Linked DNA regions of Mus musculus. The protein of the gene in region 1 purifies or fractionates together with the protein of each later gene. This does not show direct contact. Links are inferred from orthologs where the notes say so. Each region holds a gene or a part of one and is shown in the gene's direction. Other genes may lie near its edges.

Region 1 (3,500 bases):
CTCCCTCCCCTGCCTGTCAGGTATACATGGACTGGTATGAGAAGTTTCAGGACAGGCTCAACAAGAAGGTAGTGCTGCTGACGGGGGAGACCAGCACAGATCTGAAGCTCCTGGGCAAAGGCAACATCATCATCAGTACCCCTGAGAAGTGGGACATCCTCTCTCGGAGGTGGAAGCAGCGCAAGAACGTCCAGAACATTAACCTCTTTGTGGTGGATGAGGTCCACCTTATTGGGGGCGAGAATGGGGTATGCTTGGCTTTGTAGCACAGAGAAGGACTGGGCCGCACCCAGTTTGTGTTGGGCCTGAAACTAGGGACTAGGGTCTTCACAAAGATTTCAGCCTATTGCCTTATTTCAAAAGAGTGATCTGAGTTTATATATTATGTTGCTTAGTGAAGGTGTCTCTTTGAGGCAGGGGAACTATAATTGGGACTGCCAGAGGTGGTTCACTAAGGGAAGCTCAGGTAGAGGGTGGGAGCCTGGGCCTGAAGTGACTCTTTCTCTTCTTCCCAGCCTGTCTTGGAAGTGATCTGCTCCCGGATGCGCTACATCTCCTCCCAGATTGAGCGGCCCATTCGCATTGTGGCACTTAGCTCCTCACTCTCCAATGCCAAGGATGTGGCTCACTGGCTGGGCTGCAGTGCCACCTCCACCTTCAACTTCCATCCTAATGTGCGCCCTGTACCTTTGGAACTGCACATCCAGGTAGGACAGCCTTCATTCCTCCATGGCCTCAGGGATCCCTAGGTACCCAGGTCTAGTAACCTCAGTGTCTTTTTCCTTTGTCTCCAGGGCTTCAACATCAGTCACACACAGACTCGCCTGCTCTCTATGGCCAAGCCTGTGTACCATGCTATCACCAAACACTCACCCAAGAAGCCTGTCATCGTTTTTGTCCCATCTCGTAAGCAGACCCGCCTCACTGCAATAGACATCCTCACTACCTGTGCAGCAGACATCCAGCGGCAGAGGTAGGGTGTGCTCTAGTTTCTGGGATGAGTGGGTGCTTGAAGATCATGTTAAGTGAAGTCCTGGGTAAGGGCAGGGACTAAGTCTGGGGTCTCCCACAGACTGCAATGCCTCTGACTTGTGCTTGTTCTTGTTCTGCCCAGGTTCCTGCACTGCACCGAGAAGGACCTGATCCCTTACCTGGAGAAGCTCAGTGACAGCACACTCAAAGAGACCCTGTTAAATGGGGTGGGCTACCTGCATGAAGGCCTGAGCCCCATGGAGAGGCGCCTGGTAGAGCAGCTCTTCAGCTCCGGTAAGAAAACCTCATCACCCAAAGCTCTCATGGCTGTGGCTGTCAAACGAGGATGTGGGTGTCCTCTCTTTCTTTCTAAAGATTTATTTATTTATTTTATGTAAGCACACTGTAGCTGTCTTCAGACGCCCCAGAAGAGGGCATCAGATCTCATTATGGATGGTTGTGAGCCACCATGTGGTTGCTGGGATTTGAACTCGAGACCTTCGGAAGAGCAGTCAGCACTCTTAACCACTGAGCCATCTCGCCAGCCCCCTTTTTTTTTTAAACAATTTTTTATTAGAATTTTCTTCATTTACAATTCATGCTATCCCAAAACTCCCTTATACCCTCTCCCCACCCTGCTCCCCTACCCACCCAATCCCGCTTCCTGGCCCTGGTATTCCCCTGTACTGGGTCATATAATCTTTGCAATACCAAGGATCTCTCCTCCCAATGATGGCCGACTAGGCCATCTTCTGCTACATATGCAGCTAGAGACACGAGCTCAGGGGATACTGGTTAGTTCATATTGTTGTCCCACCTATAGGGTTACAGACCCCTTTAGCTCCTGTGGATGTCATTTCAATAAGGAATAGAACTTATTAATGCCAGCAGACTAATGTATGTCTTAATTCATTAGATTCCTCTAAAATACTTTTGTTGTCATTGGAACAGATATTTCTCCCAGCTAGATTAGAAAACAGGCACAAAAGCTGGTCTCATTTCAGAACATGGTTTTGTGGAGTTGGGCCGTTGGCCAGTAGACCTAAGTTCTGTGTAGATACCAGACTGGAGGGGTTAGAACTTAAGAGATGGCTGTGGATTTGTGATTCTCTCCTGGCTGGTTGCCTCTTGCCTGCTACCTTTGTTGACCTGTGGCATTTTATGTGTTTTTCACTATTCTGGCACTTGTGGCAGAGCCTTGGTGTAGCCAACTCTGCCAGAGTCACTGTTACTCTGACTCTGAATCAACCTGGTTTGGATTTGTTCAGGGTAAGTTTGACTTTGCTGCCATGGCCTGAACCAGCCACATTTGGTTTGGTGTTAGCTTTCATCATCAGAGGGCCAATCCACCATGCAGTGAAGGTTTTGCTTTCCCTGGATTTTGAGTTTTCTTGAATTGCTTTGTTTCTTCTAGGATAGTCTCAGAGCAAAAGGCACCAATAGTGCGGTGCTACCTTTCACAGTACTTCATTATGGTCAGACCTTGTTCCTACACAGCCTCAGTCTGATATTTGAAATGTAGCACAAGGTTGGCCACTGCCTGCCAATGAAGCAGATACTTTGTGGGAACCCTGCCCTCAATCTTCCTCTCCCTTACGCTGCTCAGGGGCTATCCAGGTGGTGGTAGCTTCTCGGAGTCTCTGCTGGGGCATGAATGTTGCTGCTCATCTAGTGATCATCATGGATACTCAGTACTACAATGGCAAGATCCATGCGTGAGTATAGTTGCTGTGGGCATTAACAGATCTCCCTCCTAAAGTGGATGTAAATGTGCAAGTGCAGGTATAGAAAACTAAACATGGGCCAGAGCTCCAGATCCCGGGACCTGCTCTTACATCTCTCTCAGCAGTTTGGAGAGATAAGACCTTATATATAAATGGGAAGAAAGGAGGTTGTTGCTAACCCACTCCCATATTAGGAAAAGTGGGTTGGTCAAGTTCTCATCTTCGTCATGACAAGAAGTATAAGATCAGGCCGGGCAGTAGTGATGCATGTCTTTAATATCAGCACTTGGGAGGCAGAGGCAGGTGGATTTCTGAGTTTAAGGCCAGCCTGGTCTACAGAGTGAGTTCCAGGACAGCCAGGGCTACACAGAGAAACCCTGTCTCGAAAAAACAAACAAACAAACAAACAAACAAACAAAAAACCCAAAGTATAATAAGCTCAGTGTTTCTCAGAACCTGAGTAATTTAACTTTATTGTTTTCTCCAAAATGTAGATTATTTTGAAATTAATTTTGTGAGTTTAAAATGTCTGATCTGGTTTTTGCTTTAGATTTTAGATTACTTTTTAACCTGAGAAACACACAGACCTTAAGTTTGACTTCAAGTTTGACCCTTTAATAGATGTTATTTTGCTTCTGGCCCTTAGATGGGTTTGTGGCTTTGGTTCAAGTTCCTTGAGTAATACATTCCTGACTCTTTCACTCTGAAACTAAAATAATGTGTGGGTAAGCAAGTGAAATGAATTGCTAAGCACACAGGTTTCTGTCCAGTTTTGCTGTAGTTTGACCTTATCTCCCTGCCTTT
Region 2 (3,500 bases), on another chromosome or scaffold:
CTCAGCCTTTTTACTAGTAGTTTGAGGCAGGCTTTCTCTGTGTTTCCCAGGGAGGCCTTGAACTTTGGATCTTCCTGCAGAGTTGGATTATAAGCTTGTACCAGCAGGCCTAGCTGTAGTTTTTTGACACATGGTATAACTGTATCTTAGACTGGCCTCTTAACTTGATTTTCTGCCCCCAGTATTGAGATCACAAGCATGTGCCACATCACATGTCGTGGATGGAATTGTCACTTTACAGAGGAGGAAAGCCAGGAGTGGTGAATAATAATAATTGTTCGTGATCACGAAATTCATAGGTTTTCTGGGCTGCACAGGTTGGCCTAGGAGTCCTAGCTCAGCTTTTCTCTGTACTCTTTCATGTTAAACTTTCTACTGAGAACATGTAGATAACAGGCATAGTTGCTTTGGGCCATGCTGTTAAGTGACGGGCCTCTTTCACAGGGAGTCTCTACATTGCTTCCATTAAACAATAGAAGGAAGATCAGTCCTGTGTTGTGTCTCTTTGGGATGTGCCTGTCTGAAGACCTGGCCCTCCAGGTCTGCCTGTGCTTCTGCACAAAATTACCACTTTGGAGGAGGCAGCAACAAGTGGAATTCTGTCTTGTTTTTTCAACTTCCACTTCCAGAGGAGAAAAACAAAGGTCACTAAATAAACTAGAGAGGAAAAGCATTTGATGAAATCCAATAAGTATTGATGATAGAGTTAAAAGATTTGTAAATTGGAAGGCTGATGTTCTTCCTGGGGAGAGAATGGACTGATAACTTACACTGACATCACCTGTAGTGGACGCTGCGCTTCATTTCTGTGGAAGTGAAGTTGTTGTTCTTAGTCACCAGTGTTAGCACCTTGTATCCCTGGATTAAGTGTAGCAGAATGCTTCTGTATGCGCCCTGTTTGTAGTGTGTTGGTCTCCCTTTTTCTCTAGCTGTAGACAGCAAAGAATTGAAGTTAGGACAACTGGCTTGGGTCCTACCTTGTTCTCCCTCTGAGAGAGAAGTGATAAGTCACAGTGATTACCAGATTGGGCTTGTGGTCCAGCTGCTGCCTTGCTGCTTACTTGTCAGAGACTGGTGCAGAGTCAAGCCTGCTGAGCTGCTTTAGAAAAGCTCTGTTGAAGTCACCCTTTTCCTACTCTTAGAACTTTACTTCTTTTGCTTTAAGCTAGGGCTTTTGTACCTAAGGTATGAGTCTTTTGCCTCCATATAAGTATATACTGTTTGGATGCCTGGTGTCTAAGGACATCAGACGAGAGTGACGAATTCCCTGGAACTGGAGTTAGGAGTGGTTATGAGTCCTCCTGTGGGTGCTGGGGAACTGAACCTGGGCCCCCTGGAAGAGCAGCAAGCACTGTTAACTGCTGAGCCAGCTCTTCAGCCCCAGATAGATTTTTAAAGTGGTTGTCCTCTGGCTTATGGCAGTACTGGATATGGCCTGGCTGTTAATGCTTCTGCTTGTCATAGTTGCACTGTAACTTAGGTCTGTTGCACAGTCTAGATAACTTGACTACTGGGGTGCACTTCTAATAGTTAGAAATAGCTGAATTGATGCTTGCAGTTCTTTGGGGCTAAAGAGTTATAGTGGGGCAGAGCCAGCCTAGAAGATGGGTGGGGCACAGTGACTCAGGTTCTGGGTGTGTCGAGTCATTATCTTGATGCTTTTGTACATTAGGATGGACCACTGCATTTAGCATGGGGGAGAGCTGAAAAGGGTAGCCATACAGAGTAGCCAGACTGATGCAGGGCTGAAAAGGGTAGCCATACAGAGTAGCCAGACTGATGCAGGGGCCTGATACTGACTCTAAGAATTAAATGCTAATATTGGTGAAGCTTGTGGGGTGTGCTAAGAAACATCTGGCCGTCACTTCTATGTGAGTTGAGTAGAGAAGTGGTGCAGACTCCCTCAGGTGATAGCACCATGTAGTTATATTAGAGCTTTAATGGATCCTGAACACAGCTTCGAAGAGTTGACCATTAGTCATCACTACAGTGGCAGTCAACACTGAGGCATGTTCTGAGACTCTGAGCAGCCTCTCAGCTCCTTGTCACATTACCTCAGAATGCAGGTCACCCCTGCAGGGGCTTATGGATACAGGGCAAAGGACTGAACAACCGAATGGGATGAGATGTTGGTGGGTGGTTGTCAGTTCTTCGGGAATGTTTCATGTTCAGTTGTTGGCTGGCCTATGCTTGTATACTTGTCAGAATAAGGGGATTTAGTGTGGCCTCCTCCCACCTTTACATGGTATCTTAAGTAGATAGGACCTGTGAATCCATGGTAGATTTTTTTTTTTTTTTTTTTGAGAGACTGATTCTTCTGCCTTAGCCTCCCCAAGTGCTGAAAAGACAAGTGTGTGTCACCAGTCACAGCTTTCTTCCTGGATGTTGGGAAATTACTTTGTATTGGAATTGAAGTCTTTATACATTTTTGTCTTTAGGAGTTGTATCCACTGTAGTCCCAGATTCTGCCCACAAGCTGTTCATCGGGGGTTTGCCCAATTACCTAAATGATGACCAGGTAAATCCTCTGCTCTTTTGCTAGCTACCTTTGTCAGCCTGACCAAACCCTGATGAATTTTTGGCCCTTTGTAGGTAAAAGAGCTGCTGACATCCTTTGGGCCTCTCAAGGCCTTCAACTTGGTTAAGGATAGTGCCACAGGGCTCTCCAAGGGCTATGCCTTCTGTGAGTACGTGGACATCAACGTCACAGATCAGGTGAGTCTGAGTAGCTGCTCATTCCATCTGCCCTTAACCCTACTCTTATTTCTAACCTTAGGTATCCTCTCCTCAGGCTGTGGGGTGGGGTGGGGTGGGGTGGGGCAGGGTGTTTAGTCTTAAGCAAAGCCTTGTGGGGACTCATTCCTTTTCCCTTGGTTTTGCCTCTTTCCAATCTTAAAAGCCCTTTGCCTTTCATTCTTTCCCCACCAATGCCTGGTCCTTTGGTTCCTGACCTGTTGCTTTTCCTGCACCCTTTCCACCCTTTGTCCTCTGACCATAGGCCATTGCGGGGCTGAATGGGATGCAGCTAGGGGACAAGAAGCTGCTTGTCCAGAGGGCGAGTGTGGGAGCCAAGAATGCCACGCTGGTGAGCCTCCCGGCACGTCATCTTCCATTGGCTAGAGGGACCCTGGGGGTGGGAAGGGTTGGATGGGTAGGTTTTCTTGAGTTCTGCCCCAGTTTTCATGGGAGGGGATTTGGGCACTGGGTTCATAAGTGCTTAAGTAGAGGAATGGTCCCACTAGTTGGGTGTAAGAGGCACAGGCTTGAATGGAGGGAGGCTAGTCTGAGCCATTTTGTGACAGATCTGTTCTCCCTGACCCCACAGAGCACCATCAATCAGACACCTGTGACCCTTCAAGTGCCCGGCCTGATGAGCTCTCAGGTGCAGATGGGCGGTCACCCAACTGAGGTCCTGTGCCTCATGAACATGGTGCTGCCTGAGGAGCTGCTGGACGATGAGGAGTATGAGGAGATTGTAGAGGACGTACGAGACGAGTGCA
Region 3 (3,688 bases), on another chromosome or scaffold:
CAGGGTCTCACTGTGGAGGGCTGGCTGGCCCCGTGTACTCCTGATGCTCCTGCCTGTGTCCCAGGCTGTCCTCTAACATAACCGCACAGGTTGGCTGGACACCAGCTATCCTTTATCCTTTTGCTTTGACTGTGTGCTCTGGGAATGACCTTACAAATAGTAATGGATACCAGCCATCAGCAGAGTCACTTCTGCATTTTGGGGCTAAAGGGAGGGGGTGTGGCTATTGTCCCTTTTTCTGGAGGGGCAAGGACACTGGGAGTTCCCACCCCTCCTTTCCCACCCCTCTTGCTGGAGGACCAGACTGATCAGGCATGGATGGAACAGGTCTGGCCGGGTTGACAGTGGGGTGGTGATGAGCAGTGTTCTAGGTTCCAGGCCTCTGTTGGAAGCTCCTCCGGACAGCTGCCTATTCCCACTGGTGGACTCAGCACTACAGACTTTTGCAGTGAATGCTGCTCTAAACTGCAGAGGAATTTCTGGGGAGGGATGGGTGCAGAGGCTAGTCACAGGTCTCCCAAGTGCAGCCACAGCCACTGTGATGCCCTGTAGGCTCCCATGCTTGGCTGAGCCCCAGGCCTCAGCTAAGCCGGTACAGTTGCTCTGCCAGGTGCCCGTCCTGCCCTCCCTACCTTCAGCAGCATGTCTCCTTTCTCTTTGCAGGGGAGCTACCTGGCCCATACCCAAGGGAAGAAACATCAGACTAACTTGTGAGTCCCTACAGCCCTGGTTCCCCGGGACCACAACACTGTTACTCAGTAGGGAAATCTGGCTGGATGAATGGGGAGGGGAGGGGAGAGGCTACCTGCGTCTACATTCTTGACCCCCTCCCCCCATCCCCAGCCCATGTTTAGCCTTACTGTCTCAGTACAGAGCAGATGGCCAAGGGGCAAGGACATTGGTGGTGCCAGGATTCTCACCTGTTCTGCCCTGCTTGGTGTACCCCAGGGCAGAGCCGCCTAATCCTCTCCCTCAACTCTTGAGGGCAGGGCCTCTGGCTCCTGGTGCTTGGCCTTGGTGGCTGGTGGAGGGCCCAAGCACTTGTGTCTGTTTGCAGGGCCCGGCGAGCTGCCAAGGAGGCCAAAGAAGCCCCCGCCCAGCCTGCACCGGAGAAGGTCAAGGTGGAGGTGAAGAAGTTTGTGAAGATTGGCCGCCCTGGGTACAAAGGTGTGTGTGTGTGTGTGTGTGATGGCCTCCCTATGGCTGGGGGCTACGGCATGAATGAGCCCTGGCCCTGGCACCGGACATACCCTTGTCCCTAGGACACACAGCCGACTTCTCTGTCCTCAAAGCATCTTTCCCTTAGTGTTGCCAAGAGCCCCCAGGTGCTGATAAGTACCATCCCTACTGGCAATCTCCAGAAGCAGGAGGGGGAGGCTGGCTGTTGCAGTCACTGCCCCTGGAGCCCCTCTGCAGAGGCCCCTGGGTGACGTGGCCTAGCCAGAAGACCAATCACATGGCCAGCAGGAGCCCAGGGACCCAAGTTGCCAAGAGTCCCCTTTGGCAGGCAGGGTCCGTCCTGGGGAGGCTGTGACACAGCACCTCCCTCCTCATACTCTTCTTGGACTTCAACAGCTGCCCCTGCATAGAGTGCTGGGTTGGGTTGCCCTCCCTCACTTTAGGTCCTAGCCAGTGGCCTTAGGCAGAGAAGCCAGGCCTTGTGTTGAGGAACCCTGTTCTGTTGTGCACACACAGCACATAACAGCCCCATCCCTTCTGTTGCAGTGACCAAGCAGAGGGACACAGAGATGGGCCAGCAGAGCCTGCTGTTCCAGGTGAGGTGGGACCAGTCAGGGGTGGACCAGACACACGGGTGGTGATGCCAATAGTGCTGTGCATGTTTTACAGATTGACTACCCTGAGATCGCAGAGGGTATCATGCCACGCCACCGTTTCATGTCTGCTTATGAGCAGAGGATCGAGCCTCCAGACCGCCGCTGGCAGTACCTGCTCATGGCTGCTGAGCCCTATGAGACCATTGCTTTCAAGGTAGCGACCCTACAGGACAGAGAGAGCAGCTAAATTCAGCTGTCTGTGTATCCTAGCCCCTCCTTGGGGTGCTGCAGCCTCTGACTTTCTCCCTAGGTGCCAAGCCGGGAGATTGACAAGGCTGAGGGCAAGTTTTGGACCCACTGGAACAGAGAAACCAAGCAGGTGAGGTTCCACAGGCCTTGCGTGGGTACTCTCTCAGCGCTCCTCAGTGGCCCTGCCCCAGTCACTGACCCTCTCTCCTACAGTTTTTTCTTCAGTTCCACTTTAAGATGGAGAAGCCCCCAGCACCTCCCAGCCTCCCAGCAGGACCCCCAGGCGTCAAGCGGCCCCCGCCCCCACTCATGAATGGACTGCCTCCTCGCCCACCACTCCCTGATGCCTTGCCCCCACCTCCACCTGGTGGCCTGCCTCTCCCTCCTATGCCCCCCACTGGGCCTGCTCCCTCTGGGCCCCCTGGACCTCCCCAGATGCCCCCACCAGCTCCTGGGGTGCACCCCCCGGCCCCAGTAGTACACCCACCAACATCTGGAGTCCATCCCCCAGCTCCTGGGGTACACCCCCCAGCACCAGTGGTCCATCCACCAACATCTGGGGTCCATCCCCCAGCCCCTGGAGTGCACCCACCCACCCCTGGAGTGCACCCACCAGCCCCAGGAGTGCACCCACCAGCTCCAGGTGTCCACCCACCAGCTCCAGGGGTACACCCCCCAACTCCAGGGGTGCACCCACCAGCTCCAGGGGTGCACCCACCAGCTCCAGGGGTGCACCCACCAGCTCCAGGGGTACACCCTCCTCCATCAGCTGGAGTTCATCCTCAGGCTCCAGGGGTACACCCACCTGCTCCTGCAGTACACCCTCAAGCCCCTGGGGTACACCCCCCAGCCCCTGGGATCCACCCTCAGGCACCAGGGGTTCACCCTCAGCCGCCTCCTGGAGTCCACCCTGCTGCCCCGGGGGTCCACCCTCAGCCTCCAGGGGTTCACCCCTCAAATCCTGGGGTGCACCCTGCTCCTATGCCCCCCATGCTGAGGCCCCCACTCCCCTCAGATGGCCCTGGGAACATGCCTCCCCCTCCCCCAGGCAACTGAGCAGTCCCCCCACCAGCCTCTGTTGTCTGTGTGGTCTTTTCCCATTGCCAGTCCTTGGAAGGTTTTCTATTTGTCCTGCCTTGAGCCTATTAAACAGCCTCCCCCGTGTCTCCCTGTCTGCTGTGTGTTTGGTAGTGGGGAGGGTGGATACTGCTTGTCTCTGTTGAAGCTGTGGTGACCTGGGGCGTCCTCCAGGTGGGCTCCCCAGGGAGATGGGAGCTACTCAAGGACAGCTCAGGCCTCTGCAGTTATGGGCCCAGCTCTGAGGACAGAAAGCCCTTTGAGACAGTCGCCTCCCACCTGCTGGGCATGAAAAGTGCCAGGCACTGTCCCCCAAGGTCACCTTTGGTGTTGATAGGGGCGTCCCTCCCAAGCAAGCAATCTGGCTCAGCCATACATATAAGCAGGGCCACCCGGACCTTGCTGTACCACCATGCAGGGGCCACACCTCTCTCCACTGGTACTGCTGCTAGCGACTATGGGGGCTGTGTTACAGCCTGAGGCGGTTGAAAACCTGGCCACCAATACCAGGGGCCTCATCTTCCTTGAAGATGAGCTCTGGCCCCCCAGCAGCCCCCCTGAACCTTTGTGCCTGGTGACAGTGAGAG

What was found. The genes of interacting proteins can lie anywhere in the genome.
Region 2: the proteins of Snrnp200 (region 1) and U2af2 fractionate together in Homo sapiens (co-fractionation; 3 studies listed by BioGRID, with this or other methods). This does not show direct contact. The link is inferred for Mus musculus from reciprocal best matches to the Homo sapiens genes SNRNP200 and U2AF2.
Region 3: the proteins of Snrnp200 (region 1) and Sf3a2 purify together in Homo sapiens (affinity purification with mass spectrometry; 4 studies listed by BioGRID and IntAct, with this or other methods). This does not show direct contact. The link is inferred for Mus musculus from reciprocal best matches to the Homo sapiens genes SNRNP200 and SF3A2.

What each region holds. Positions count from the first base shown.
Region 1 is NC_000068.7:127,232,386-127,235,885, forward strand, and holds part of Snrnp200 (U5 small nuclear ribonucleoprotein 200 kDa helicase), read left to right. Parts: intron 1-20; coding exon 21-248; intron 249-515; coding exon 516-707; intron 708-794; coding exon 795-973; intron 974-1,114; coding exon 1,115-1,266; intron 1,267-2,578; coding exon 2,579-2,687; intron 2,688-3,500. UniProt on the Homo sapiens protein: Catalyzes the ATP-dependent unwinding of U4/U6 RNA duplices, an essential step in the assembly of a catalytically active spliceosome. Plays a role in pre-mRNA splicing as a core component of precatalytic, catalytic and postcatalytic spliceosomal complexes.
Region 2 is NC_000073.6:5,072,143-5,075,642, forward strand, and holds part of U2af2 (splicing factor U2AF 65 kDa subunit), read left to right. Parts: intron 1-2,438; coding exon 2,439-2,518; intron 2,519-2,592; coding exon 2,593-2,715; intron 2,716-2,998; coding exon 2,999-3,085; coding exon of another isoform or gene 3,086-3,097; intron 3,098-3,325; coding exon 3,326-3,500. UniProt on the Homo sapiens protein: Plays a role in pre-mRNA splicing and 3'-end processing. By recruiting PRPF19 and the PRP19C/Prp19 complex/NTC/Nineteen complex to the RNA polymerase II C-terminal domain (CTD), and thereby pre-mRNA, may couple transcription to splicing.
Region 3 is NC_000076.6:80,801,735-80,805,422, forward strand, and holds the end of Sf3a2 (splicing factor 3A subunit 2), read left to right. Parts: intron 1-663; coding exon 664-710; intron 711-1,057; coding exon 1,058-1,167; intron 1,168-1,725; coding exon 1,726-1,775; intron 1,776-1,848; coding exon 1,849-1,989; intron 1,990-2,085; coding exon 2,086-2,154; intron 2,155-2,237; coding exon 2,238-3,080; 3' UTR 3,081-3,188; downstream 3,189-3,688. Other genes in the region: Amh (muellerian-inhibiting factor precursor), read left to right, coding at 3,514-3,688. UniProt on the Homo sapiens protein: Component of the 17S U2 SnRNP complex of the spliceosome, a large ribonucleoprotein complex that removes introns from transcribed pre-mRNAs.